Linked DNA regions of Struthio camelus. The protein of the gene in region 2 binds, or shares a complex with, the protein of the main gene of each other region. Links are inferred from orthologs where the notes say so. Each region holds a gene or a part of one and is shown on either strand. Other genes may lie near its edges.

Region 1 (7,147 bases), on a different chromosome or scaffold from region 2:
CGTAGCAATGATATCACTACAAACCTGCTATTAGGAATTGCAGTAATAAAACAACGACCCTATGGTGTTCCGTGACCTCTTTTTGTACAGTACAGTACTACCTACCATGCAGAAAAGACACCTGTTGGCAGAGGTGCAAGCATGTGTTTTTAAGAATGAATATTTGTGCACTGTCGCTCGTGTTTGTTTTATTGGTTTGTCTGTCGATAATGCAATGCTCTTTACACAAAACCTCAGTCAGACAAGTCAAGGTCACTGAATGATGGAGCTTCAAAGCTGAATGTGCTCTCTGAAGCAGTCTTGATGTGGGAGGAACAGAACTTTCTTATGCCACAGATAAGCTATAATGCTTACTGAATTAAATTTAAAAATACATCCAGTTGTTAGCAGTTGATTTAGAATGTCCTTTTAAACAAGCAGTGTTGCAATAAGTTCATACTACGAAAAGAATAATGAAAAGTTATATGTTAATCTCTAGTGTCCTTATTTCTGCCTTTTACTGGTAACAAATACTACTGCAAAGGTTTATCGTAAATGAGAATTATGTTATCTTCATGCCCCGGGAGCAAGCAGGTTCTTAAAACCTTAATGAGAGAAACTATTCACCTTGGTCTTAAAAATAGCACTAAAAGCACATCCAACCTACTAGTAACCTTTTCTAAATGGTGATTTGCAAAAAATCCCACAGTTTGTTATTACAGCTGTAGCTGATATGCAAAAATACATCAACTACAGCATATAATAAAAAAATTGAATAAAATTAATATTCTAATTAATATTGCTGACATGATTTAATGAAGTTCTGGGACTAAATTTCACCTTGGACTAAATCTATTGGAAAAGATTTAATTATTACAGAGATTAATTTGATCTCTGATTTTCTAAAGCATTGCAAGATTAAAAAATTCTGCAGGGAATGTTTACTTGTAAAAAGTAGAGAATAACAACAGGGTTATGTGAACACTAATAATAACATCAAGAAACAGCATATATGAATGAAATTTTTTTGCAAAATCTAAATAGAGGATTTTTTTTTTCAAGGACTGATAGAAAAGTCTGCATCTCAAGTAAGCTTTTCTTAAAAAATGCAATAAAAAGTAAGCCTGATTTCTTTTAACAGACAATAGAAAGGAAACAAGCATATCACAGTACTTTATATATTGGCAGAGACTAACCATCTACACACATTAAATCCATTGGTCAGCCAACCAACCAAAGACATGCACTTCTCTCCGTGTTAAAAAAAAGATGTTTAAAAAATTGTTTGAAATCTCTGGTCCTAAATCTCCTTTTAAAACCTGCGTGTCTTCAATTGATGGAATTCTGAAAACAGACAGCTGAGAAAGCTCTGGAGCCCACACTTATCTTGAAAATCCCTGCTGGCAGCCTTTTTCGTACAAAAACCAAGAGGCTGGAAGAAGTTCTAGCATGGTTTTCAGGGATGTGAGAGAAATAAAAGAAACTATATTTGCAAAGCCCATAAGCCAGGTAAATACTTCATGGTCACTTGAATCCCAGGTAGATGCCTCGGGAAACGTTCACCCACCCTTTGCTGCTATCAACTGGCACAAACGCATTCTGCCCAGACTAGGCTCCATCTGCAACAAACGGAGATTTAACAGGGGCGTGGGTTAGCCAGCTGTCCTTTGGGGGCCTCCTTCTCTTTAGGGAAGAGAGGCTAAATGCTAGGCAATAAACGGAATTTACACTAGAACCAAGAAAGCACGCTTAGGCAAGCTGGAGACCCCTTGCCCTCTGGCAGAGGTAGAATGATCCCCTCCAGCAGCGAGCTCTGCAATTCACCTCTGATCTCACCAGCCCAGCAGGACACAACCAGCTTGCACCATAGTGACCTCCTGCCCTATGGAGTTTGCGCTCCAGTTTGCAACCTAAACAAGGGTGGACGGGGCTTCCCCTCCTTGAGGCACAGCTCTGCTGCTGTGGTCTACCGCACTCATCCCCGTCGAAGCCTCAGGAACCCGCCGGCGTTTCCCAGCCTCTCAGGATGGACTGTCGAAATAGGTCCTCGGGTTAAACATGAAACCTGGCTCCCAGGCTCAAAATAGAGATGGCAATGGCCCTCCACTGCTAGGGGCATAATGTAGCAGACATCTGCTACCCATCTCCTATCTTAGCCCCAGAATAGGCATGAAGCATGCTGGGGTTAGAAGCTACGTAGGGTGCATTTATGGCTATTACTGCATCTCAATTATCAACTATAAAAGAGCAGTCTGGCCACCAGGAATGATCTAGCAATTTTGGAAAGAGAGGATGGTCATTATGCAAAACAGAAGGGCAATTTTTATGCCAGAAATAATCCCATGGTTGTGCCACCCTATGACTAATAAAGATGAGAAGTTTGAATGAACCATGGGTATTTCAGTAGATTATTTTTTAGCCTAAATCAGTTCTCAGTCTGCTCACAACTCAAGCCACACAGACAGCTGCATTAAGTGACGGGTACAGTGGTAAAAAAGAGCAACGTAATGGAGGGGCAAGGGCTACTAAAGCTGGCCCCACTGACAAAAGATGTGCTTGCCAAATCACAGCTTTAGCTTGGTGGGAAAAGACTTCCTGAATTTAAGAGTAGATGGGTATATGTGAAGAAGATAGGTGCATCTTTGCAGTTGGTACATGTGCATTTGGTTATTTTACTTACGAAGGCAAGTGAACAATGTGCTGGATGATACATTTTTAGAATGTGCTGCAGGATACGCTTTGAAAAAAATATGGACTTCAGTCCTTTAGCAATTCACACCTTGTCATGAGATGTAGGGATCACCAACTCATATACAACTTTAGTTCCCATTTTAAAGTAGCATTCCCATGGACATAAGTTAAAGAAATCTTTCCAGAAGAGTTATCAAGTATAACTGTTAGAATATTACATAACACTAATATTTTTCTTTAGAGGTTGCATTTTACTCCTGGGTTTAAAAAATTGTCCATGTCCAACTCATTGTGTACGGTTTCATGAACCGGCTTTATCTTGGAGAACTCATGAAGGAAATGACCATTAAGATATGTAACCGCACCACACAAAACAATTAAAAACGCCATCACGTCCTATAAAATCAAGCTGACATCACTCGTAATAGGGGATCCTTACGGGTATTTCATGCTTGTTCTCACAAGGTCTTAGCAAGACACAGTTTATCTTTCAGAAAGCTCAATATTGCACTCCGCTGTTCGGTAGCTGTAACTGCGGCTTGCATAGGCTGGCGTTAAAGCATTTCTTGTTCACGCTTGCGCTGAACATGTGTAGCTTCACCACGGGAAGATTTACTAGTTCGTGATGACGGTGACTGTGAAGGGTTGCTTTTAAGACAGAAGTATCAGCACGGTGACGTGCCCTTGCTTACGCCGAGTCCCTGCCACAGCCAGTCTTGATTATATGATTAAAAATCGTCGGTATCAACTAACCCAACAGGACCGAATCAAGATGTTGTATCGGTCTAGCTGATACAACTAGCATAAAATATTAGCACTTTTTTCTGCTTGGGCGGTTGCTCATTTACCTCCATCTTGACCGCTCCCACCCCAGAGCGGTCTCAGTTTTTCTCTCCGTGTTTTATTTTTATTTATATGGTTGAAAAACCATTTGTCATTTGTTTTAGCTTCATCTGCAAGGCCTAATTCAACTCAAGTTTCGATACGTGCCAGTTTATCACTAGACAAAACACCACCAGACAGCCCAACCTCCACGACTCATTAAGGAGGCTCTTCCCGGCTCTCTGCAGGTCTTGCTTTGCTCCCCTAGGAGCCGTTTCCCTACTCCGTAGACCCATTTTGTGGCGGTTGTTACCCCTCCACCTCAGCAGCCCCTGCATGGAGGTTTTTGCTAGTGCTTGGTGAGCACCTGCAAGATCCAGATTTTTTTTTTTAACTGATAAAAGGACATTTGACTGCTGCCAGCCACTAGCAACTCCCCTTTCTGGAGCCGAAGCCTCAGGCACAGCCCTACCTCGCCTCACTGACCCCTCTCGCCCCGAGCGGGACTCGAACCCGCAGACCCCAGGCACGGGAAATAGGGGGTGGTGCGGCTGAGCCCCGCCCAAACTGCGCCGCCGCCGCCGCCGCCAACGGCCCATTCCGGCCCCGCCCTTCGCCTCCCTCCCTCCGCCCGTCCCCGGCGCGCGTGCGCGCTCGCCGCGCGGCGCGCCACTTCCGGTGCGGCGCGAGGCAGGCGCCGGAAGTGCCTCCATAGCGGGTGGCGGTGAGCTGCGGCTGTCCGAGGTGGCCGGCGCCATGGTGGAGGTGAGGCGGCCGGACCCCGCGGCGCGGTGGCGGCGGAGCGCGGCGCGAGGCGACGGGGGCGGCTTGGGCCCGTGAAGGCGGCGGCTGCGGCGGTCCCTCGGCCTTTGCGGCGCCCCTGGCCCCGAGGGCAGCGCGGGAGGGTTTCCTCGGCCTCGGTGGGCCGTGGTTTGCGAGGCTGAGGCCGGGCGTGGAGGCGGGCGCGGGGCTGTGCCCCTCTCGGGCCTTGTTAGCTAGTCGGGAACGCGGTGGGTTTCTCGTGAGGTCTCGGCAGCGCTGCCCGGCAGGCGGCCGCCGCGTTTGTCGGCGGTGGGGTAGTTAGCGTGGAGCGAGTTTCGTGCGCTGCTGAAAACAGGGAACTGTCAGGAGCCTGTAAGAAAATGTAAAGAATGCTGGCCTATGTCAGGCTGCCTGCTGTTTTTTTCAGTGTGGTATCTCTGTCGAAAGCGTTGCCAGATGCTCCACGATCTTCCGTTCGTAATGGGGAGGCATTCTGTTACTTGGCGCTCGTGTGGTGTTTACAATAGCTACTGTAGTTGAACAGCAGTTCTTCCCCGTAGTTCTTTCTTCAGTTTGCATGAAACTCCCAACCCAGTTCCAAAAAGTGTTAACGTAGTTTCCAGTTTATTGCTGTTATTTCTGTGATGTGCAGAACAAAGGCAGTCCTATAGAGAGTTCTGTTTTCAGCTATTTCCTAATGACTTTTTTTTTTTATCTTTGGGAGGAAAAGATTTGAAAACAAAAACTGAACTGTGCTGGTAATAAGAGAGTATTCTGTAGAAAGAGACCTAAAAGTTTTGTTATTTTGCTTCTTAGTCTTTGAATGGAATTTTAATGTTTTGCTTTTGGTAATAAGGAAACAAAATTATTTGGAGAAAACAAATTTTGTCAGGTTTGAGCCCATGTTTGCTCCCGTGCTTGCATTAAGTGACACAGTTTACACAGAAGTTTTATGAATGCTCTTGTTCTTTTTATGGAGATAGTGAAATAGAATTTATAGGAATGTTTTCAGAATCAGTTACTATATAAAAACAGAACTGGCAAGTGTGTAGGAAAATCTTTCCTGTTTATGTGTTCATCATATAGGTGCCAGTGCAGAAAGTTTGATCAAAGTTTTTGGCCTGCTTTTCTCAGTTTTGTTGGTTTCCAGGAAAGGGAGAGTTGAGTAAACACTGAATTAAAACAACACATAAACTTTAATGTTTAGTTTCCAACAAGAATGTTTTCTGCGAACTGGATAGTGCCGCATCATTTAACACTGTCAGGGCCTGAAATTGCTACTCTATTTAACTTGTATTACTGTTTTCAATTCCTTATTCAGCTGTGGCCAAATGTATTTAAATATGCTTTCCTTTATTTTTAGGAAGTCCAAAAGCATTCTGTGCACACACTTGTGTTCAGATCTTTGAAGAGAACCCATGATATGTTTGTAGCTGATAATGCCAAGCCTATACCATTAGATGAAGAAAGGTATGTGCTGCAATCAGTGAATTACTGGTATGTCTCAAAGCTTTAAATTATGGTAGCGGTTGTTCTAGTCAAGTCACAAGTTTGGATAGAATTACAGTGTGATGTTAAGGGAAGAAAAATTTGAGGATTGTAAAGTGAGTGGTGTCAAATGCTTTCTAAAATATTTCAAAAGTTAATAACAACTCAAAGATTAGGCTTTAATATGCTTTCCTCTTCCAACAGTCACAAAGTAAAGATGGCAGTCAAGTTGCGTACAGAGTATGGCTCAGTGTTGCACATGCCCACTCTGAAAGAAAACTTGAGAGAGAAAGGAGGCTCAAACACTGGGGATCCTTATGGACATAAACAGTATTCTGGCAATCAAGGTTAGTTTGCTCCTAATGGTATGTTTGTCTTTTGTTTTGGAAGAGACAGTCTCACTGAAGTTAGTTCTCAAGGCTGTAGTGTTAATCCATCACAGATACAGGAGGAAATCATAATAGCTGGTTTTCATTGGTATTTTTCTTGCTAGAGTTCAAAGGAGGTTAGTGATTTAGAACAAGGAAAAAGTTTGTTAGAATACAGGGAATGATACGATGCTGTGTAATTTTTACAGTAATTCAGAAACATAGTGTGTGTTATGCTTAGCTACTGGGAAAAGTATAAGCTCAGTGATGTATTTCTTCTTTTTCAGGTTGATGAAGTTTTTTTTTTTTTTTAAGTTTCATGGAATTTTTTTTCAGACTTTCTTTGGCTGTGCAGCTATTAAGTAGAAAAATCCATTTGTTTTAAATATGGTATCTTTTTGACTATTTTTTCTTTTTGGTTAAATATAAAATGTGAAACTATTAGGTAGATCCCATATAGAAACTTCCCTTATAAAGAATGCAAAATGCTTTCTTATTTTAGTAGAGGTATTTTTTCAGAACACTTTATTTGGAAATATTCTGAGAGTGAAGAAAAAAATGTTGAGAGAGACTGAAAAATCTTTGAAGAAAAAAAGAACTTGTATTTGCCTTTTTCTTCTCCAGTATCACACCGTAAATTGTCTTGACTAGCCTATGTATCAAAAGATCCCATGCTGTACGTGAAATACAGGTTCATTATGTACTTGAATCCTTTTCCATGGTCTCTACTTCAGAAAGGCACCTTTGGCAACATAAAGTTGCTTCTCATGAGAAAGAGTCCCTTTTGATAACAGGCAGTGGCATCACCGTTTAAAAAATGTCATCTTACTAGCCAGTTCTAGAAAACTGGCATAACCAAAACAAATGCATTCCAAGTAAATGTAGTATGTTACATAGGATCAGGGCTATGTATGGCCTGCTCTGATTTTCTTCAGTTTCCTGCTTTGTAATGTCATTTGCAGTGTAGTGTAAAATATAATTATTAATATGAAATTATGTTGCTCTTTAGGACAAGAACTTGAATATATGGTAACTGG
Region 2 (6,397 bases):
TACAGCCTGCATCATCACCATTAGAGAGAGAAAAGGCTGTTCCTGCAAGCTCCTTCACTCTACTCATCCATTCAGCTTAGAGCAGCAGAACAAGCCACGTACACAAGACGGGGAGTTCTTTATCTTCCATTATATGCTAGCCTGCACTGCATTATGGCTACCTGACAGCCAAGTACTGATACTAAATGGAGCTGATAAAAGAATGAGCCATATATTTTCTCCCAGAGTACACAGCTTGGAAGATTTAATTCAGCTCTGGGAATCACTTAAATTCAAATGATCGCCTTAAAAAACAAAACAACCGAAACCCAAAGCTTTTAAGTATTACCAGTCTCAATGTATGACAATACTTTTAATACTCACTTTTCACTCTGAGTTTCTCAGTTTCAAACTGCAACAATTTCTTCTTCCTCCAGCATTAGTTTTTCCAGATGCCATTTAGAGATTACAAGTGATTTAAGCATTAGCTTCCTCCATATTAAAATACAGAGAACGAGAAGTAAACACCTTATTACAAAGTTGTGGAAAATAAAAAAGAAAAAAGTTTATTTCCAGATATACAAAACACCTATTCCCTCATTTCTCCATCTTCTTCTTCTTCTTCCACACCTCTGATGTACAAAACATTATTGCACCTGTAAACAGAATCAAAAAATTCCCTTAGCTGTAAATATAGGTTTTAATTTTCCTCACATATACATCATTTTAGGCATTTTCCTGTACGACAGTAGCCCAGCAACAGCAAAATTCTGCATAGTAAATTGTTGCTGTTGACCTTGCACAGCTTTTCCACAAAATTCATTATAACTGCAAAAAATAAGTTTTTTTAAAGTATTAACTGATTAACAATGCTGTACAAGACAATTTTACTTTTGGATTAACAATTATGGTCAAGCTTAATATGCAAGCATGTAAAATTTTACTCTACCAACGCTAAGGGATTAATAATCTACAATACTCGGGAAAACTAAGGCATTCAATTACTTAAGAGAGGCATCATAAATATTTATTTACGAGTACTTCAAAATTCAGTTTTCCTCTCTTCAGGAGGAATCTCAGCATAAAAGAGTTTGTAGTCTTTGCCCAGGAATTACATTAATGCTTATTTTGGTATATACTTACACAGGAAACACAGCACCTAGCATTACAAGTTTTAGCACAACTGATGTGAAAAAATTTAGAAAGACTCTGCCTCCACCATAAGAGCCCCAATTACCTTACCTTATCAAAACTTCACCAAGGTGTCCAGACAAGGCGCCATCTATATACTCTTCTGTGTTTGCAAGCTTAAGAAGGAAACCAGCAAGCGTTAAAGTGATCGTAATAGAAAACCTCACAGAAAGCACCACGTTTTGCCCACCGGCTGCTGTCTGGCCACCTTGATCGCAGGAGGCCATGCGCAGCTCTCACCCGGCTCCGGTCGAGCCCGCAGCAGAGACACTACAGATCCTTTAAAAGTGCCCGTCCCCCCACCTCCCCCAAGCAGCGGGTGCTCCGAGTCGAGCACAGGGCTGCCCCAGCCCGAAAGACCTCAGCGTGCCCCGGCGACGCGCCCCGCCGACCGCCGCCTCACCTGCATGTTCATGTAACCGTCGACGGAGACGAGGTAGCCCTTGTACTCCATCCCCCACTTGAGCTTCACCATCACCGGCTTCCCCGTCAGCCCGTTCAGGAAGGGCTTGGGGTTCAGGGGCAGGCTCTGCCGGCGAGAGCGGCCCGGTCAGCGTGCCCGATCCCCGCCCGCCCGCCCCGCCCCGCTGCCTCGAGACCGTTAATAACGGCCGCCGCCCCGCCGCCTCGAGACCGTTAATAACGGCCGCTGCGCCCGCTGCCCGCCCGGCCCCCTCCCCCGCGGTGCGGCGCGGCCCGGCCCGAGCGCGGCCCGGCCCGAGCGCGCGCCGCCCTCACCATGGCGAGGCAGCGACCGAGGGGGACGCGCAGGCCGCAGAGAAGCTGCTGCCGGGCCGCACGTGCGCCCGCCGCAGACCGGGAGCCACGGGAAGGCAGGCCCGCTCCGGCTTTCGCTTCCGGGGCGGCGCCCTGCCCTCCGACCTCTCACCCCGCGGCGCCGCAGTTTCCATAGGATGCGGCACCCCTGCGCGCCAAGAGAAAAGCGGCGCTGCCCATTGGCTGGGGGCTGCCACGGGCCTCCCTCATTGGCCGAGCTGGCGCAGCTCGGCCGTCTTCCAACCAATGGTCGGTCCCGCCAGCGGCACCGTAGCTGCCGGCGACGATTTTGTGCTGCGCTTCTCGCCGTTCGGCGCCGGGAGGGGGCGGGGCCGGGGCGGCCGTTGGGGGAGCGGGGCGGAGTCGGGCCGGGGCGGCCGTTGCGGGAGCCGGGCGGCGGGCGGGCTGTCAGGGCCGGCGGGAGCCGCCTCCCGCCTCCGTGCCAGCTGCCTCAGGACCCCATGAGCTGAGTGGAGGCCTTCCCCTCCCTCTCTGCTTTGGTTACCTCGTGCCCGAGAGCCCCGCAGGCCCCGAGCGGTTGATTCCGTGCTCTTTTCACAGAATCACAGAATGGTCGAGGTTGGAAGGGACCTCTGGAGATCATCTAGTCCAACCCCCCTGCTCAAGCAGGGTCACCTAGAGCACATTGCCCAGGATCACGTTCAGATGGCTTCTGAATATCTCCAAGGAAGGAGACTCCACAACTTCTCTGGGCAACCTGCTCCAGTGCTCAGTTACCCTCACTGGAAAGAAGTTTTTCCTCATGTTCAAATGGAACTGCCTGTGTTTCACTTTGTGCCCGTTGCCTCTTGTCCTCTCACTGGGCACCATGGAGAAGAGTCTGGCCCCATCCTCTTGACACTCTCCCTTCAGATACTTGTACATACTGATAAGATCCCCCCTCAGTCTTCTCTTCTCCAGACTAAACAGGCCCAGCTCTCTCAGCCTTTCCTCATAGGAGAGATGCTCCAGTCCCCTCATCATCTTCATAGCCCTCTGCTGGACTCTCTCCAGTAGCTCCATGTCTCCCTTGTACTGGTGAGCCTTTTCCCCTCAAACCGGCAGAAACCTTCTTTCGCCTTGCAAATTGTACCGCAAGAGTAACACCTCCTCTCCCAGCCGAGCACAAATCTGTCACAGCTTAGCGATCCTGGCTGTGTGCGTGTAAGTTACACGTACACACTTGTGAGGGTGTGAAAATGACTACGCTGGAGTCGAAGGCGGTCTTTTCCAGACGTTAACGTTTTGTTCTCGAAGTTTGACAGCGTTGAGGACTGTTTTCAGCTCAGGAATATATTTACTCACATCTCTTGTTATAGCTGTGTGTCTATACAGATATATGTCCACGAGGTGGCAGTGTTTGACTTGGCTGATGACTGCGGCACCACACGGGAGACTTCTGCTAACGAACTTTCCTTCTAGTGTTATCTGCAAGTGTTGCAGGTCAAAACACGGTGGAATCAATTCCCATATAAAAATAAATTTGCAAACCAATACTCTTTCATTACTTCATACACAGGAAAGGCTGAGAGTTTAAAAGACGAATAAGCTATGTCCTTGCCATAGTGCTAGTGCTTTGCTCCCAGGCAAAGAAGCTGCCACAGCTTTTCTTGGCTGTAGAGAGCATCAATGTTTTCATGGTCATGAAACTTCTGCCCTGCTGCTCTGGCTATAATTCCTGACTCTTAATCTTCGAGACATTAACCAATCTTTGTACCATTTACTAATCTGTCATGTCTACGCTAATGTCTATGTTGTCTGTTCTAATCCACGTCTTACGTTATTATATGTGTGAATTTATGTACCTGCTTACGGAATATTCCCTTCATATTTAATATATTGGGTGCTTATGTGGAAAACACACATGTTCAGTAGCTAACCTTTCTGTAACAGAACTTTTTTTTTTTGGTGCACTCTACCTTCCAGAGGATAGTCCAGCTTCCTTCTGCTGGAAGCAAAAAACATCATTACCTGCTTAAATCTGAGTCTTTAATGCTGTCGAGCCGAAGAGTCTTTCTTCTCCTGAGCCAGGCTGCTTTCACGCACAGTGTTAGAGATTCTTTTATGGCTGGGTAGGAGTATGTAAGATTGGCCTTTATGATTCGTTTTAACTATCATGTATCAGAAGCATTCTCAGATGTTTGTTTCCGTCACCTTTAGAAAGGAGCGTGATTTTCCTTTGGAGTTTATTGTAGGCAAGAGAGACAACATTGGAATTAAGCCAATAGTCTTTCTGGTGGCAAGATTCACTGTGGGCCAGCTGAGAGAGTAATTCCAATTGTGTTATGAGCTTTCTATAAGAAAGCCTGGGTTGAGAAGAAGCAATATACAGGAAAAGCAAAATTATTCATGTCATTTGGAGCAAAAAAACAGCTGATTTCCAGCAATGACATGAACAATGTGGCAGAATGCCAATGAGTTTAGAGCCAGTCTCCTGGATAAAATCATGCTGTGGAAGTCATTTTTGCATTTTTCTGACAACTGCTAAGGATAAATATATGTATCTGTGAATGCCAATATAGCAGTTTTGGTATGTTATCTATAAACAACTTTTCTTATTTTTGTATACTTAGCCAGTTTTGATCACAGCGTCTCCAACTCATGCTGGGAGAACTTTTTAGATACCAGGTAATACAGGAGCAATTACATTCAGGTTTTAATTCACTCAGTTCCTCTGACAGATGACTAAATATTGCAGCCCTGTTTTTACAAAACCATTGTTGTCATCAAAAAAATAGAAAATTTGCAAGGTCATAGACAGCAGTTCTTGAGCAAGAGTACAGAGCAGGAATGCTTGACTTCTAGTTTCATAATCAGTGCATGAATTCACACATCAGTGATCTTGTCAACTGTACATTGCGTCTGCAGCAGTTTTGTGTGTTGGTAGGGTAGGAAGAAGTACTTTGCTGGAAGCACAGAATGCATGACTACATCTCATGTAGATAACTGGATAACTTGGTTAATCAGGAAACAGAACAGCTTTTTCTTTTTTTTTTTCTCCTTTGAGGAATTTGCTGTTTACTTTGCTGATTGAATCATTCTGACTCAGAGACAGTCTGCTTACGTGGGTCTTCTCCTGACCTTCAGCACAGGGGTGAATTTCACCTTTTGTCTTCTTTGTACTTCCCCATGCCGAGTAATAGTTTGCATTCTTTTCAGCCTTTGAGTCAGGATATTTAGTCTGTTGCTCAACAGGAAATGAACAGGAAAGAGTTTTTGTCATAGATTAATACAAACCTTAGATCTTGAGTGGATGGATAGTATTTTCTTTTACAGCTCAGAGGTGGGAATTTAGCATGACTGCCTACACTTAGTTCCTAAGGAAACACATTAAGCAGCTGAACATCCGATGGCGGCAGCAGCATTTCTGATGAAGCGATACATTAGACGGTGTTATCTGTGTAAGCGCAAATGCTCACTGACATCGTCAACACACCATGTCACTAATACTGAGGAGAGAAGGCTAGCGCCTGTTCAGCTCTCATTGCTGCAAGACAGCTGAGCTGCCCAGAAATATTTCCTGGTTGAGCTGAATGTGCTGAAACAGGAACTCCCTGCAGTAACTCCATGCTGCCTGTCAAAAACACATTTCTTAGGAAAATTTCTAGAGCTACCCATGTTTCCACTTTTGGACTGCAGACATAATTAATGTCCCACACCTTTTCCTAATGATATACCAGTGTAAATGGGGTTTTGCTCTGCTGCACTGTTCTCCCACATCAAGCAAGCTACTTTTGATAACCACATAGTTTGTCTCTGCTGGAGTCTTAGCAGCACCAACACAGACACCACAGAGGTGGGCAGCAGTTGCAATCAGAGAACTTAAAACAGACGTGAAGGTGCAGCCATGAATTAGGAGTGAGGAGAGCTGTATTACCAAATAGGAAGCTCCACCAGGAGGCTGCACCTTCAAAGGACAGATTTACATGAAAGTAAATCCAGTGCAGCAGCATGGAGTTAGCTTGGGTACACAATGGGATGAACTTCACCTTCTGGTTCTGTTGGGTTTGTACTTGACTCAGCTGTGTAAAGACCCAGTGGTCTTCCCATGCTAACCTGTCCCAGGTGAAGATGACTTGGCAGTATACCATTCTCCTTCCTGCCTCTTGCAGATCTCCCAGACCTCAGTGTCTGGTTCTTGAAGATATTAGGTGGTATGGTGCCTCAGCCTAAGCTAGACACTTTGTACAGTCATGTTGACTGGGGGATGATTTCTGACAGTCTTTCTATTCTAATTTCTTGGGGACACAGTGGTATGACTCTCATGGACCTGGAAGGATTTTGAAGTTGTGTGCGCCACTGGGAGAGTTTTACTGCTGTAGCAACCCTGTTAAAATATGGAGAGAATCTAAGTCTCAAGCTAATCTTGCAAGGAAATAATTTAATGTTTTTCTTCAGCAGTAGGCATAGTGGAAGAATTACCATTATAAATCATGGTGAAATGGAAAAT
Region 3 (7,787 bases), on a different chromosome or scaffold from region 2:
TTGGCCCAGAGACACAGCCAATGTCACACCAACATCAGCACCATGACACAGCCATTGTCACAACAAAATGGGCACAGAGACTTGGCTGGGGTCATACCAGCATGAGCACAGAGATACAGCTGGTGTCACACCAACACAGGCACAGAGACTCAGTCGGTGTCACATCTTTCACGACCTGGAGACACATTGGTGTGACACTGACTGCTTCTCTGTGCCCATATTGTTGTGACACCAGCTGTATCTTCATGCCCTGACAGGTGGGACAATGGCCATGTCTCTGTGGTGATATTCATGTGACACCAACATTGTCTCTGTGTCTGTGTTGGTGTGACACTGGCTATGTCTCTATGCCCTGACAGGTGCAACACTGGCCATCTCTCTGTGCCTATATTGGTGTGGCAATGACCGCATCTCTTTGCCCTTGTTGGAGTGACACTGGCTGAGCCTCTGTGGCCGTATTGGTGTGTCTCCATGCCCTGTCAGGTTTGATACCAGCTGTGTCTCTGTGCTCAATTTGGTGTGACACTGGCTGTGTGTCCCTGCCCTGACAAGTAGGACAATGGTTGTGTCTCTGTAGCAATATTTGACACCAACAGTGTCTCTATGCCTATGTTAGTATGACACCGGCTGTGTCTCTGTGCCCTGACAGGTGTTACACCAACCATGTCTCTGTGCCCATGCTGGTGTGACATAACGTGTATCTGTGCCCATGGTGGTGTGACACTGGCTGTGTCTTTGTGCCTGCATTGGTGTGACAGCAGTTTGTTTCTGTGCTCACGTTGGTGTGATGCCAGCCATGCCTCTGTGCCCACGATGGGGTGACACTCACTGTGTCTCAGTGTCCTGACAGGTGTGACACTGACCATGCCTCTGTGCCCATGCTGGTGTGACACAGCCAGGTCTCCACAGCGCAAGGGTTGGTGGAAACAGCCGGTGGTGCAGGTGCGCTGGGCGGGCTGGTGTGGGTGCTGGTGCAGGTGCCTGTTTGTGGGCTGGTGCCAGGGCGGGTGCCCGATGGCAGGGCGGGCTGGTGCTGGTGCGGGTGCCCGATGGCGGGGTGGTGCCGGGGCGGGTGCCCGATGGTGGGGTGGTGCCGGGGCGGGTGCCCGATGGTGGGGTGGGCTGGTGCTGGGGCGGGTGCGCGGGCGGGCTGGTGCGGGTGCCCGATGGCGGGGTGGGCTGGTGTGGGTGCTGGTGCGGGTGCCCGTTTGCGGGCTGGGGCCGGGGCGGGTGCCCGATGGCGAGGTGGGCTGGTGCTGGTGCGGGTGCCCGATGGCGGGGTGGGCTGGTGCGGGTGCTGGTGCGGGTGCCCGTTTGCGGGCTGGGGCCGGGGCGGGTGCCCGATGGCGGGGTGGGCTGGTGCCGGGGTGGGTGCGCGGGCGGGCTGGTGCGGGTGCCCGATGGCGGGGTGGGCTGGTGCGGGTGCTGGTGTGGGTGCCCGTTTGCGGGCTGGTGCGGGTGCGGGTGCCCGATGGCGGGGTGGGCTGGTGCGGGTGCCCGTTTGCAGGGCGGGCTGGTGCGGGTGCCCGTTTGCGGGCTGGGGTTGGAGCCGGGGCGGGTGCGCGGGCGGGCTGGGGTTGGAGCCGGGGCCGGGGCCGGGGCCGGTGCGGGTGCCGGTTGGCGGGGCGGGCCCGCCGCTCTCCGTGTGCACCGACCACCTGATCCCGCTCCGCCCGCCGCAGCCGCAGCCGCAGCCGCAGCCTTTGTGCGCGGCGCGGCGCGGCGCGGCGCGGCGCGGCGCTGCCCCATGAGGCGGTGAGGCGGCGGCGCGGGATGGCGGCGGGCGGCGGCGGGCGGCCGCCGGGCCCCGAGTCCTCACTGGAGCCCTACGTGCAGACACGTATCTTCAAGATCATCGTGATCGGGGACTCCAACGTGGGCAAGACCTGCCTGACCTTCCGCTTCTGCGGGGGCACCTTCCCCGAGAAGACCGAGGCCACCATCGGCGTGGACTTCCGAGAGAAAACGGTGGAGATCGAGGGGGAGCGCATCAAGGTGGGCGGCGGGCGCGCGGCCGGCTCGGCGGCGGCGGCGGCGGCGGGGGCGGGCCGGGGGCGGCCGCTCCGCGCGGGCCGTGGCGAGGCGGCCGGGGCCGCGGGGGTGCGGGCGGCGCGCAGCGGGCGCCGCAGCGCCGAGGGGCGACCCCGGCCGCGGCGAGGCCGCACGTTGGCCCCTGGGACGGCAGCCAGCCGCCTCTCCCTTCCAGATGCAGCCCTCAGCCCCGGGCCGCGGGAGGATGTTTCGTTCTCGCCCTGCAGACACCCTCCGAACGTGTCGCGGCTCCACCGGCGCTGTTCAAACGCTGTTTGCTGGAGTCTGCAGGGAGTCTGGAACAATAGCGCGGAGTGAAACATTGCTAGTGTCCTGTTGTTCCGATATCCAACACAGATGGATCTCCAAAGTGTCAGGAGTGCCTCCAGCTCCAGGAGGCGGACCACAGGACAGCGCGAGGGGCAACGCTCCAGGGGCGCCAGAGGAAGGAGCTGTATGCAGAAATGTGTATGCTTTCGGGGAGCAGACTGCTGGAGGCTGGTGGTGGCTGTGCTGGGGGGCCGGGAATTTACACTGGCTGACTTCAGTGGGCTTGACACCTGTGATGTTACTGTTCCAGGCTGGTGTTAGCAAGCACTACAAGGATGTGATTTTCGCTGACCTAGAATAGAACTGATTTGCTGTGTGTAGACCAGTGTAACAACTGTAAGAAATTAATTAGCTCAGACCTGAAGAGCTCTGATCGATGTGTCAGAGTAGATCTGCAGCTCAACAGCAGCTGCTAAGAAACAACTTGAGAAGCACAGTTTGCAGCTGATCTTGGCCTGCCCGATTACGTGGATCAGTACCACCAGCAGTCTGGGTGTAAGACAGACTGCTTGAAGAAACAAATATTGCTACTTTGCTAACAGATGGATGATCAAAAGTTGAGGGACTAATCACAGTGAGAACTAGAACTGGAATTTTAATTGTGCCTTTAAACTGTCCATGAAATACTTTTTTTTTTTTTTTAAGAAGAGTTATTAATTTCCCCCATGCTTTCCCCAGCTCCATCCAACACCACATATATGTGTTGTTGTAAGCTGTAGCACAGGCTGGCATGAAGCCCTTCTTACTGCCGCTAGCTTGAGAACAGTGCCAAGCTTGCTACCTTTTGATATTATTTGCGCTACAGCAGGCAGGATTGGAGGGTAGGACAGCAACCTGGCCTTCCCCTGGGAGCATGTGTAACCGGGAAGTCCAAGAGGAGAGGTGAGAGGTGGGAGACATCCATCTCTCTCTCCTGCTCTACCCAAATCAAACGGCCTGGGATGGATTGGCATGGAATTGGTGAATGAGCAGCAGCTCTTTTTTGCCAGCATTTTTCCCCTCTGAAGGACTCTGGGGCAGGTGCTGCCTTGGTAAGGTGTAGGGGTGGTGTTGGGTTTACCACAGGCTTTTGTTAGAAATGACCAGTTCCAGGCTTCACGGCATTACCTGTGAGGACCAGCAGGGAGACCAGTCTCTTTGCTCTGCCTCCTCTATACCTACCACTGTGTAATTGTTGAGGTTCTCTTTTATGGCATAGGATTAGGCAGACCAATGTCCTAATCTGGTGCAAGAATGTTTCTGAAATGAGAAGTATTTTGTGCAGTTCGTTTCTGTGGTGGGAATGCTGGTCAAGTGCATGAGGAAGAGGATGAGAGGCAGGGAGTGGTCTGGCAGCGGAGTGCTCTAGGAGGGATGCCTGACAAGGCGTTTGAAAGTCACCAAGACCCAGCCATCAGGCAGCGACGTTTCTCGCTCAGAGCACAAGGACCAAAAGCGTGCGGCTAATTCTCTTGACTGTGCTGGACTCAGCTGCAGTGGCTGGAAATGGGATGCGCGGTGGAGTCTCGCACTTGTCCGTGAATGCTGAAGGTGAATGAAAGTGCTGACATGATCTCTCTTATTAAACGAGCTGGGATTGCTGGTTGAATTACACAAGCTTTGGGGCATAGGCACTGCCATATACAGTCTTGGGCGCTGTGGACACATGCCCAGACGCTTATGTAACTCATCTAGCAATCCTTGTCTAGTAAGATGTAGGTGTCTCCTGCATCTTCCCGCTGTAGTTCATCAAAACCAACCAGCTCCTGAGGCAGCATGCCCTGGTTTTAGGGGTAGGCACTTGGTGCTCCCGTAAGCTTCCCTCGTCTGCCTCAAGAACCCTATGCTTTGCTTTCTAGGTGCAAGTGTGGGACACGGCTGGCCAGGAGAGGTTTCGGAAGAGCATGGTAGAACATTACTACCGCAACGTTCATGCCGTCGTCTTCGTCTACGACGTCACTAAGATGACGTCCTTCACCAACCTCAAGATGTGGATTGAGGAGTGCAACGGGCACGCGGTGCCTCCCCTCGTGCCCAAGGTGCTTGTTGGGAACAAGTGTGACTTAAAGGAACTGATCCAAGTGCCATCCAGCATGGCCCTGAAATTCGCTGACGCTCACAACATGCTGCTGTTTGAGACCTCAGCCAAGGACCCTAAGGAGAGCCAGAACGTGGAATCCATTTTCATGTGCCTGGCCTGCCGGCTGAAGGCCCAGAAGTCGCTGCTCTACCGAGACATGGAAAGGCAGCAGGGCAAGGTGCAGAAACTGGAGCTCACGCAGGACGCCAACGGTAAAAACTCCTGCCCGTGCTGAGCGAGCCGGCCCAGAGGGCCGGGAGCGGGGCCGCCGCCGCCGCCCTGTGTCACTGTTACCCAATAAAGTCTGTGTGGCTGCAATTGGTGGTGCTTCGCGCGGCGCATGCGCGGCGGGCAGGGGGCGGGGCTGTGCACGGCTGCGCGACGCGCATGCGCGGAGGCCGGGGCGCAGGCGCAGCGTACGGCGCTGTCACCATGAAGTAGGTTTGCGGGGAGCGCGTGGGGAGTGCCGGGGGGGGGCGGGAGGCGGGGAAAGAAGACCCCCTTCCCTCGGTGCTAATGGTGCCCGTCGCCCCCAGCCCACTGACGAAGGTGAAGCTGATCAACGAGCTGAACGCGCGGGAGGCGGAGCTGGGCGTGCAGGAGGCGGTGTCGTGGCACGCCGAGTACAAGGACAGCGCCTGGGTCTTCGTCGGTACGTGCGGCCACGGCACGGCACGGCACGGCACGGCTAGGGGGGGCGCGGGGCGCCGCCGCCCGGCTCGGGGGGCGCGGGGCCTGCCGCGCGCGCGCGCGCCCCCTTCAGGCGGGAGGGGTTCCGACAGCGCCCGGGGCGCGGCCCCTCCCGGCGGCTGCCGTGCTCCGTGCCGCCGCCGCCGCACGCCTCTCCTCCACAGGCGGGCTGCCCTACGAGCTGACCGAAGGGGACGTCATCTGCGTGTTCTCACAGTAAGTGGCGCTGCCTTTGCTACCCTTCAGGGCCTGCTTGTGGTGGAGGTACGCTGGGACCCTGCGGAATGGGAGGTGCTCTGCCTCTGCTGCCTGCCCTCCTGCAGGCCCCGAGGCCCTCTGTGCGTTCTCCGCAGTGGTTTTGGCCGCTAATCATGCGTTTCAGGTATGGAGAGGTTGTGAACATTAATCTGGTGCGGGACAAGAAGACTGGAAAGTCTAAAGGCTTCTGCTTTCTTTGTTATGAAGACCAGAGAAGCACTATTCTGGCTGTTGACAACTTTAATGGAATCAAGGTCAGTGAAGCAGAGCGAGACACAGTCCTTCTAGCTAAAGAGGCTTGTGGTATGACATGTCATGTCGTGTCAAACAGCAGCCCCAGCAGTGTGGGTCACTGGTATCCCGTGTTGCTTGGGAAGCTTGCCTGTGGCTGTGCTAACGATGTGACTCCTTCTTGTAGATAAAAGGAAGGACAATTCGAGTGGACCATGTGGCTAGCTATCGCCCCCCCAAAGACACTGATGATTTAGATGATGTCACCAAAGCCCTCCGTGAAAAGGGCTGTGGAGTTAAAACGCCACCTCATACTTCATCTGATTCGTTGTCAGAAGATGATAACGTGCCAGTAAAAAAGCAGAAAGGTTAAGTGTATTTCTGTCAGAGTCCTTACCCCAGTTGGGAATGTCTGCATGAATCCCTCTGTCTTGCTAGTGCCTTCAGCTCAGGGAAACAGCATCAGTGGGAGAAGGAGGGGCAGATGTGTGCTTGAAAAGGGCCTCAGTCCTAAAGTCCAGGTTGTAATTTGTGATCTCCTGAGTGGTATCTGATTGTCTGTATTTAGTCTTTTACTCCCATCCTCTCAGAGCTGTATCTTGCAGGTAATAATAGTACTTTTTTCCTGGAAGAAAGAAACTGGCTGCCAGGCTGTAGCATTACTCCAGGGAGCGGCAATGCTGTTTGGGGTAGGGAAAGGAAAGGCACTACTTAGTCTTAGAATAGCTGCTTCCTGATTTTAAGATTGAGGTGCTGCAGGAGCATTGCATGACCCTTGTGTGGCCTGCAAAACATAATTAAATTGTGTAGAGAATAAAAAGAGCAGACTTAGTTGGCTTTGGTTTCTGGACATAAAAATCTCAATCCAAGGTAGACTTAAAAATATAGCATAAGTTAAACCAATTCAATGCTTAAATATTCCCTATTGTCAGGGGACACAACAAGGTCTGCTGCTGTATATCTTTCAGAAAACATCTGTTTTTGTTAAGGAAATAGTTTTGTTCAGCTTGGGTTTACTAAATGAATGTGCCAAGTAAAGGGTTAGCCTATATGATCAGATTGATGCTTTTTTTAGAAAGCATTATGGTTTTTATCCAACCTCGTAGCAGAGGTCTTGAAAAGTAATGCACATCAAGGCCTGCAGAGTGCTAGAAGCAGTGGCTTGTAGCAGAACCTCTTTAGATTTGTTTGTTAGCTCCTTCCGAGTGGTACCTAACTGAAATGGGGTCACAGCTCCCAGGATGAGCTGGTTTGGCATGGTGGTGTTGGGGTGGGTGGGGAGGTGGTAGTCATTCTGGAATTGGCTAGTGCTTATGACATGTAACCAGCCATGTGGAGGACTCTTCCCTCCAGCACCTGGGCAGTATCTGTGACAGGCTCCCTGTTAGCTATTTGCAGCAGGTTCAGTAGTGTTGCATTGATGTGGATGTGGGGTGGGTGCCTTGGCATGGGATGGTCAGGCTAGAGTCCTAGTTTGCAAGAAGTGGGCTGGAGAAAAGAAAATATGGAAGAAAACTAAGGTGGGGACTAGATGTTGCTCCAGAGAGCTGAGGAGATGTGCAAAAATGAGAAAGGCAAAGGAGAGTGAAGAAGGAAAAGAAGCATTGAGTCCAGAGAAGGACATTTCCACAGAGTTGTTAAGGACGTTCTTAGTGTTGCATGTCTGTTATTGAGAAAAGAGAATTGAAGGAAAGTGGTTGATGGGCTGAGCCATGTTAAAATGTGCCAGGACAGCTTAGCTGGGAAAAATGCAATGTGGCAATTGTGAAAGAAGAAAGTGGGATGGTTCCATCTGGAGGAGAAAAGTGCTAGGGCTGAAAGTGGAATAGGATCTCTCTGGGCCGTTAGGAGGCTGTGAAACTTGGGAGGGGAGGGGAAAATCATTGACCTTATCTAAAGATGGGAGGGTGTTCAAAAAACGCTGTCGTGTTAAGTGGCATAGCTTGAGGAGCTGAGCTAATGCTTGCAGGGCTATTGCTCCCTAAAGATGAACCTGTATTTCAGATAAAGAGAAAAGCGGGCAAGAACGGCAAAAGCAGAGCCTGCATGCTGTGAAGAGGGCTGCGTCCGCAGAGGAGTCACATCCAAGAATCAAGATTAAAAAGGAGAAAGAGGATCCTGCCTATGACCGGTATGCCAGCGTGAGTCAGCAGTCTTGGAACGGGTCTGAGAGGAAATATGGGAGCAG
Region 4 (7,766 bases), on a different chromosome or scaffold from region 2:
TGGGGGGGCACATTGGGGACATAGAGCCCTGGATGGCCACCATGGGGACATATGGCCTGGGGCACCATGCTGGGTGGGTACAGTGGGGATGTGGAGCCCTGGATGGCCACCATGGGGACATATGGCCACAGGCACTGTGCTGGATGGGCATGGTGGGGACAGAGAGTCCTGGATGGCCACCACAGAGATATATGGGCCTGGGTACTGTGCTGGGTGGACACCATGGAGACACAGAGCCCTGGATGGGCATCACAGGGCCATATGACCCTGGACACCATGCTGGGTGGGCACCATAGAGACATGTGGCCCTGGGCCACCTTGCTGGGTAGGCACCATGAAGACATCAAGCCTCACATGGGCACCTTGGGGTGGCCCAGTGTGGCGGTGCCCATCCCGGCACCCATGTGCTGTTTGCCACCAGGGCCAGACGTTCACGCGGACGAGCCGGGCGGTGGCACAGAAGCAGCGGGCTGGGCAACGGCGCTGGTGCCTGGTGCTGGTGGGGCTGGCTGTTGGCCTTGCCATCATCATCCTCATCGTGGTGCTGGCACTGTGGCTAGGTGGCACCCGCGCCACCCCCCCTGTGCCCCCCACCGTCACCCGCGCCGCCCCTGGTGGGGACTGAGCCCCCCGGCCTGCCCCCCCGCCAGTGCCTCTGGAGACCCTACAATAACTCGCAACCTGGGACCTGCTTCAGGGAGATTCTACAATAACAAGCCACCAGGATCTGCTTTGGGGGGACCCAGTAACAAACCATGGGGACCTACTTTGGGGAGGCCCTACAATAACAGCTCACCAGGACCCACTCCAGGGAGACCCTACAATAACAAGCCAGTGGGATCTGCTTCAAGGAGACCCTACAATAACAGCTCACCAGGACCCACTCCAGGGAGACCCTACAATAACAAGCCAGCAGAACCCACTCCAGGGAGACCCTACAATAACAAGCTACTGGGCCCACTTTGGGGAGACCCTGCAATAAAAAACCACTGGGTCCTGCTCCAAGAAGACCCTACAATGACAGACCAGCAGGACCCACTCTAGGAAGACCCTACAATAACAAAGCCCAAGCCTGCTTCGGGGAGACACTACCATACCAAGCCAGTGGGACCTGCTCCAAGGAGACCCTACAATAACAAGGCCCTAGAACCCACTCTAGAGAGAGCTGACAATAACCAGGCCCTGCTTTGGGGAGGCCCTACAATAACAAAGCACTGCAGGAAGGGGTGACCCTGACCTGGGGGCACTGCTTGGGCAGGGAGAAATCGCCCTCTGCCAGCTCCGCCTTGGGTGCCCCAATGGGGACGGTCAAGGACCCAGGCATCCGGCAGTGCGGTCCCCACCCTGGGAATGTCACCCATCTCCAGTCCCATCCCCCTGCCCAGGGTGGGGCATGGCAGGACCCCAGGGTGCTGCAGCCTGGTACCACTTCCCTGCACCCCAAGGTGGCCTGGCATCGCCCGGGTACAGGGCACAGCCTGGACCCCTCCTGGGGCACGGCATCCCTGGGCAAGTGTCACCCAGGAATCGCCCTGGCACCCTGTGGCATCGCCCAGGTGCCTGTGGCACAGCCTGGCACCCCCTGCCCAGGTGGGCACCGGAGCCAGGACCGTCTCCACTGTGAGTCTCTTTATAGCCGCTACCGTGATTAAAAAACCAAAACCACTACAGATCCCAGAGTCTGTCCCACTGCTGTAGGTGCCGCAGCCCCACACCTGGGAGGGGACCCCAGGGAAAGGATGGGGACACTGGGGACCCAATGGCCCTGGCCATGCCACTCCAGAGCCCTGGGAGGGGACAAGACGGGAGATGTCGGGTGACGTCCCTGGGGTGGATGGCAACGGGTGAGGCCACGCTGCAGACCCCTGGAGAGCGGCCCCGGTGCGGCCACGCCAGCACCCACGCATGCAGCACCTCGGCACCCACCAGCACGGCCCCGGGGTCCCTGCCAGGCTCCTGGTGCCCCCACCCCATGTCTCAGTATCCCCAGGGTCCCCAATGAGAGCCGCACGCCGGGGACTCGCAGCACCTTTATTGGCATCAAATGCCGACCGGCACCGGCTGACGCTGTCCCCTCCGGGCTGGCAGTGTCCCCCCTGCCGCTGGCACTGCTGGGTGGTGGGGCAGAGCCGGAGGAAGGTGTCCCCATCACCGGGTCCCACGGCGCTTGCTGAGCTCGTCCTGCACCCGCTGGCACAGGGCCCGGCGCAGGGCGGGCTCCAGCGGGCTCCGGGCGCACACCCGCTGCGTCACCTCCTCCGCGCTGTCCGCCTGTGGCGCCCCCACCCCCTGTCAGTGGCACCCGTGGGTGCCCGCCATCCCCCCAGGTTTCCTGCTGCCCCCCATGCTCTGGGGCACCCGCTGCACTTGCTGCGCACTCCACAGCACCTGTCTGCACCCAGGGGCACCCGCCACCCCCATAGCACCCATCTGGGTGCTGGGGCACTTGCCATCCCCCACAGCACCTGCCTGTACCCCAGAGTACCCCCCCCCCAAAGGCACCCACTGCCTCCCGGAGCACCTAAAACCCACTGTCCACCCCTTAAACCTAAAGGCACCCACCTACACCTGGGGCAACTAGCACCCACAGCAGCCCACAGCACCCACCTGCACCCAGCACCCACAGCCCCCCTGCGCCCCAGGGGCACTCACAGCATTGCCCAGGCAGGAGGGGACCCAGCTTCCCCCCAGCGCACCGTGGGACGCCCTTGAAACGCGGTAGCGCAGTGCTGTGGTTAGAGGTGGGGGTACCCGGACGCCTGGGTCCCTGGGGTGCCCACCTGGTGCACGATCACAGCAGTGACGCTCCCGTCGTCCCCCTCGTACTCGAGGCAGAAGAGCCGGGGCCCGCGGGCGTCCGCGGCGGTGGCACCCGCGCTGCTCTCGGCTGGGCTCCGCTCTGCCCCCGCTGCTGGCACCCAGCACCCTGAGCGGTGTCGCGGGGGCACTGGGTGCTCCGAGTATCCTTCATGCCCCAGCCCACCCTAGGGTGCCCCCAGGCACCAGCCCCCCCCCCCAGCCCTCCTTTGGGTGCCCCTCACTCCCCAACCTACCCTAGGGTGCTCCCCATGCCCTAGCACACCTTGGGTGCCCCCCACATCCTGGGACACCCCAGGGTGCCCCTCATGTCCTGGCTCACCCCAGGGCACCCTTTGTGACCCAAACCTCTTCTGGGTGCCCCCCAAGACCCCATCCCTCCCTTAGGTGTCCCCCATCCCCATCCCTCCCTTGGGTGCTCCCTGTACCATGGCCCACCCCAGGGTGCCCCCCATGCCCCACTGCATCCCAGGGTACCCCCTATGCCCTAGCCCACCTTAGGGTGCCCCCCCATGTCTTAGCCTCCCCCTTGGGTGCCCCCACGCCCCAGCCCACCCCGGGGTGCCCCCCCATCCCCATCCCTCCCCTGAGTGCTCCCTGTACCATGGCCCACCCCAGGGTGCCCCCCATGCCCCACTGCATCCCAGGGTGCCCCCCCATCCCCATCCCTCCCCTTCGGGTGCCCACCATGCCCTGGCCCACCCCGGGGTGCCCCCCCACGTCTCAGCCCCCTCCCTCGGCTGCTCCCCTCCCCAGCGTCCCCCCCCCGCCCCCCCTCCCACCGCCGGGGCTCACCGGGGCCGCGGGGCCGGTAGACCTGCTGGTCGGGTCGGCGGGGCCGCGGTGGGGCCGGTGTGTGGCGCTTCCGTGCCCGCCCCCGGGCCTGCCGCACCGCCCGCTCGTAGGCGTCCCTGCACCGGCACCGGCACCGGTACCGGCACCGACCCGCTCAGCGCTGCCGCCCCCGGCACCGGCACCGCGCCGCCGGCAAAGGGGGCCCGGGGGAGGTGAGCGGGAGGAGACGGGGGGTCGGGAGGACATGGGGGACCCGGGGGGGGGGTGTCCCGGTGATGCACTGGGCTCCGGTGGGGGGAGGAGGGGGGCGTCCCGGGGGGATCCCGGAGATGTTTTGGGGTCCCGGGGGGGGGAGACAGGGGCGCTGGAGGGGCAGGAGGGGTCCCGGGGCTCCACTGGGGTCCCGGGGGTGCCTTGGGGTCCCGGGGGGGGGCTTTGGGGCGTCATGGGGCCCTGAGGGGGCCCCGGTGAGGTCCGGGGGGCGGGCGGGGGGCCGCGAGGCGGCCCCGGTGCCGGTACCTGGCGATCTGGTTGCGGCGGATGTGGCGCACGAAGCCGTGGCTCATGTCGAGCCGCCCGCCCGGCCGGCAACGCCAGCCCGCGCCCGCCTCCATCGGCCGCCGCTCCCGGGACCGGCCCGCCGCCGCCGCCGCCCCCTGCAGCCTACCCCCCGCGGGCACCGGCGGTGGCGGGGAGCGGCCGGGACTGTCCCCGGAGCCGGACCCCCGAGGGTGCACGGCGCTGCACACCGCACCCGGTTGGAAAAGGGACGCTGTCTCTTTAAAAGCCCCGCCGGCCGCACCGGCGCCGGTGGGCATGCGCCGCAGCGCCGCCAGCGGGCGGGAGCCGGCGCACTGCGCAAGCGCTAAGGAGGTTCCCCGCCTCCCCCCCCTCCCCGGCTCCGGGCGGATCCCCCGCTCATGCGCGCTAGCGGGGGTGCGGCCGCTACCCTTCCGGATTGGAGCGGCGCATGCGTAGTGCCTGAAACGGCGGTGAAGATAGGGGGCGGTGGAGCGCACGGTCCGTGCTCTTGCGCACGCGCAGTTCTCACTCACGGCTCGGTGCCCCCGCGCCGGCCTGGGGAGGCGCCTGCGCAGTGCCGCCGCCGCGCCTGCGCAGTGCCGCCGCCGCCGCGCCTGCGCAGTGGGCGGCGGGATGTCGAGCCGCGGCAAGCGGGAGCGGGAGCGGGAGGCGCGGGCGGCGCCGCGGGGCTCGGGCGGCGGCGGCGGTTCGTCGTCGTCGTCGTCGCGGGGCTCGTCGCGGAGCCGCCGCGAGGGCGAGGCGGAGCGGTCGCGGGGGCGGCGGGAGGCGGAGCGGGGGCGGGACCGGGACCGGGACCGGGATCGGGATCGGGACCGCGACCGGGACCGGCGGGAGGTGGCAGAGCCCCTCCCCCTCCCGGTGGACCCCGCGCGCATCAAGCGCGAGCCCGGCACCGGCACGGGCGGCGGCACCGGCGGCCCCGGCACCGGCACGGGCGGCGGCAGCGGCGGCCCGGTGCGCATCAAGCGCGAGCGCGAGCCCGACGGTGACTCCGAGCCTGAGCCCGAGCCCACAGGTGGGCACCGGGGGCACCGGGCCTGGGCGGAACCGGGGTGCTGCCGGGGTGGTGCTGGGGGAGGTCTGGGGGTGCACGGGGTGGGGGGGCCGGGGGCTGATGTGGGGGGTGCACGGGGGAAACCGGGGGCTGACGTGGGGGTGCACAGAGGGGACGACCGAGGGTGATGCTGAGTGACCCGAGGGACCGATCTGGGGGTGCGCAGGGGGGTCCTGCTGGGGCCGAGGGTTGTTTTATGTCACTCTGAGGGGGACAGGGGTGTTTTTGGTGTCCCTGCATGGGGACACCACCTGGGGAGGAGGCTGGACGATCCTGGAGGAGCGGGGCTACGCGGGAGGAAGGCCGTGAACGGCGGGGGGCCTGGTACTAATGGGGCTGCGTGCTCCCCGCTACAGTGCGCTATGGCCGCTTCGACCCCGAGGACCAGCGAAGCCGGCACTGCCCCTACCTCGACACCATCAACAAGTGAGCGGGGAGGATCCGTGGGCCAGCCACGGGCACTGGGAGGGCAAGCGGAGCGGCGACCCCAGGGCATGGCTCCCTTGGGGGCTGCCCCATACGCCGCGGCTTTCTCCTTTTCCTGCTTTAGGAGCGTCCTGGATTTCGATTTTGAGAAGCTCTGCTCCATCTCGCTGTCGCACATCAACGTCTACGCCTGCCTCGTGTGTGGGAAGTACTTCCAGGGTGAGTTCTCGCCTCAGGGGCTGGGGTCACTGAGGGGCTCATGCTGGTGGGAGGCTGCCTGGGGTCCGTTGGCATGAGGGGGAGGCAGCCCACGAGTCAGACTGGGAGTTGTTTCTCACCTGTCCCCGCGCGCTTGAGGTTCCTTGAGCGATTCCCTTTGCGGCTTGGGGCCAAACATGCATTTATCCATCCCTCTCTGCTCTGGAGCTTGTGGGATCCCACACTCCCCGTGGCCTCGCTGGCTCCTTCACAGTTGAGGTTTGAGCCCTCGGACGCCTGGGCTGCATGGTCTTGCGTTCCCTTGTTCGCGGCCTGTGTCCCTGATGCTTTCCTCTGCCTCGGCAGGCCGAGGGCTGAAGTCTCACGCCTACATCCACAGCGTGCAGTTCAGCCACCATGTTTTCCTCAACCTGCACACCCTCAAGTTTTACTGCCTCCCTGACAACTACGAGATCATCGACTCCTCGCTGGAGGACATCACGGTGCGGGGACCTTCACAGCGAGGGGCTGGGGGACTGGGGAGGGCTGCTGTGACCCTGCAAGTGGTTTGCTCCTCTGAGCTGCACTGAAACCTGAGGATTTAGGTTCATGTCCCTTGGGCTGTCAGGCTTTGCAAGGCCCAGTGGTGGTGGGGAGCTCTGCACCGAGGTGTCTGAGAGTCTCTGCTCGGTTCCTGCTCGCGTGAAAGGCAGCAGGGTTGTGTGAAAGGGATGAAAGTTTCTTAAGTCTTTGCGATAGAGGGGTTCTGGTAGAACACATGGAAGAGGCAGGAGGGTGGCAAGATCTCCGTCCTGGGAGGGTTTCAGAGCACGGTGCCGCTGGGAACTGCAGCAGTGCCTGCGAGGGGGGCCGGTTGGCTTTGGCTTCCTGGCCTGACGCTGTTTCCCCTCTTCTCTCTCAGTACGTGCTGAAACCCACCTTCACCAAGCAGCAGATCACCAACCTGGACAAACAGGCCAAGCTGTCGCGGGCATACGATGGCACCACGTACCTCCCGGGCATCGTGGGGCTCAACAACATCAAGGCCAACGACTACGCCAACGCTGTGCTCCAGGTACGGGCGCGCGAGGGCCTTTGAGCTCGCCCTGGGGGGAGGTGGAGGAAACCCACTTCCCCCTGGGGCTAGCGGGGAGTGCGTCCCAGCTGATCACCGCCTGTGCGCGCGCAGGCCCTCTCCAACGTCCCGCCACTGAGGAATTACTTCTTGGAGGAAGACAACTACAAAAACATCAAGCGCCCGCCCGGGGACATCATGTTCCTGCTGGTGCAGCGCTTTGGGGAGCTCATGCGGAAGCTGTGGAACCCGCGCAACTTCAAGGCGCACGTCTCCCCCCACGAGATGCTGCAGGCAGTGGTGCTCTGCAGCAAAAAAAACTTCCAGATCACCAAGCAGGGTGAGACAGGCGCCTTGTGCCAACAGGCAGCACTTTCCCTGTGCCAGAGGTGGCCGAGGAGGGTTAGACCCCTCTACGGTGCTGGGTGGAGGACAAGGCTCCTTTGTGCTCTTGCTAGGGGTTCACTGCTGATTTATCATCTGGCTTGCAGGTGATGGAGTCGACTTTCTCTCTTGGTTTCTGAATGCCCTGCACTCAGCCCTGGGCGGCACGAAGAAGAAGAAGAAGAGTGAGTGGAGGATGCTGTGGGATGAAGGCTGCTTTCACGCAGCTGGTTTTAACCTTGGGGCAGCCCCAGCCACCCTGATGTCCCCCTGTGATGCTTATCACCTCTCTTGCTCGATCCTTGCCTGAGAGCGGCCGCGTGGGGGAGCAAAGAGCTGGCTGACAACTTTGCAGCTTGCAGTTGGGTGCGAGGTCTGAGCCTTGTAGGGTGTTGCTGGCTAAAAGAAGATTTTAGCCTCTCTCCTAGCCCTGCGTTGCCCTGTGTGAACACCAGCGCTGAGCCACCTAGACGG

What was found.
Region 1: SNRPF (region 2) and PLRG1 share a complex: the UniProt entries of both Homo sapiens proteins name them as parts of the minor spliceosome. The link is inferred for Struthio camelus from reciprocal best matches to the Homo sapiens genes SNRPF and PLRG1.
Region 3: SNRPF (region 2) and RBMX2 share a complex: the UniProt entries of both Homo sapiens proteins name them as parts of the minor spliceosome. The link is inferred for Struthio camelus from reciprocal best matches to the Homo sapiens genes SNRPF and RBMX2.
Region 4: SNRPF (region 2) and USP39 share a complex: the UniProt entries of both Homo sapiens proteins name them as parts of the U4/U6-U5 tri-snRNP complex. The link is inferred for Struthio camelus from reciprocal best matches to the Homo sapiens genes SNRPF and USP39.

The regions. Positions count from the first base shown.
Region 1 is NC_090945.1:39,286,517-39,293,663, reverse strand, and holds the start of PLRG1 (pleiotropic regulator 1), read left to right. Parts: upstream 1-4,129; 5' UTR 4,130-4,248; coding exon 4,249-4,257; intron 4,258-5,617; coding exon 5,618-5,724; intron 5,725-5,946; coding exon 5,947-6,089; intron 6,090-7,119; coding exon 7,120-7,147. UniProt on the Homo sapiens protein: Involved in pre-mRNA splicing as component of the spliceosome. Component of the PRP19-CDC5L complex that forms an integral part of the spliceosome and is required for activating pre-mRNA splicing.
Region 2 is NC_090942.1:52,291,085-52,297,481, reverse strand, and holds SNRPF (small nuclear ribonucleoprotein F), read right to left. Parts: upstream 2,212-6,397; 5' UTR 1,912-2,211; coding exon 1,909-1,911; intron 1,700-1,908; coding exon 1,574-1,699; intron 1,287-1,573; coding exon 1,222-1,286; intron 636-1,221; coding exon 569-635; 3' UTR 520-568; downstream 1-519. UniProt on the Homo sapiens protein: Plays a role in pre-mRNA splicing as a core component of the spliceosomal U1, U2, U4 and U5 small nuclear ribonucleoproteins (snRNPs), the building blocks of the spliceosome.
Region 3 is NC_090952.1:1,703,384-1,711,170, reverse strand, and holds the start of RBMX2 (RNA-binding motif protein, X-linked 2), read left to right. Parts: upstream 1-4,786; 5' UTR 4,787-4,807; coding exon 4,808-4,857; intron 4,858-4,956; coding exon 4,957-5,072; intron 5,073-5,274; coding exon 5,275-5,326; intron 5,327-5,492; coding exon 5,493-5,622; intron 5,623-5,786; coding exon 5,787-5,967; intron 5,968-7,603; coding exon 7,604-7,787. Other genes in the region: RAB33A (ras-related protein Rab-33A), read left to right, coding at 1,774-1,995, 4,200-4,655. UniProt on the Homo sapiens protein: Involved in pre-mRNA splicing as component of the activated spliceosome. As a component of the minor spliceosome, involved in the splicing of U12-type introns in pre-mRNAs.
Region 4 is NC_090968.1:1,819,916-1,827,681, forward strand, and holds the start of USP39 (ubiquitin carboxyl-terminal hydrolase 39), read left to right. Parts: upstream 1-4,751; 5' UTR 4,752-4,767; coding exon 4,768-5,170; intron 5,171-5,565; coding exon 5,566-5,635; intron 5,636-5,759; coding exon 5,760-5,854; intron 5,855-6,199; coding exon 6,200-6,336; intron 6,337-6,755; coding exon 6,756-6,908; intron 6,909-7,022; coding exon 7,023-7,248; intron 7,249-7,399; coding exon 7,400-7,477; intron 7,478-7,766. Other genes in the region: VAMP5 (vesicle-associated membrane protein 5), read left to right, coding at 422-625; C27H2orf68 (UPF0561 protein C2orf68 homolog), read right to left, coding at 2,149-2,271, 2,781-2,926, 3,613-3,728, 4,132-4,430.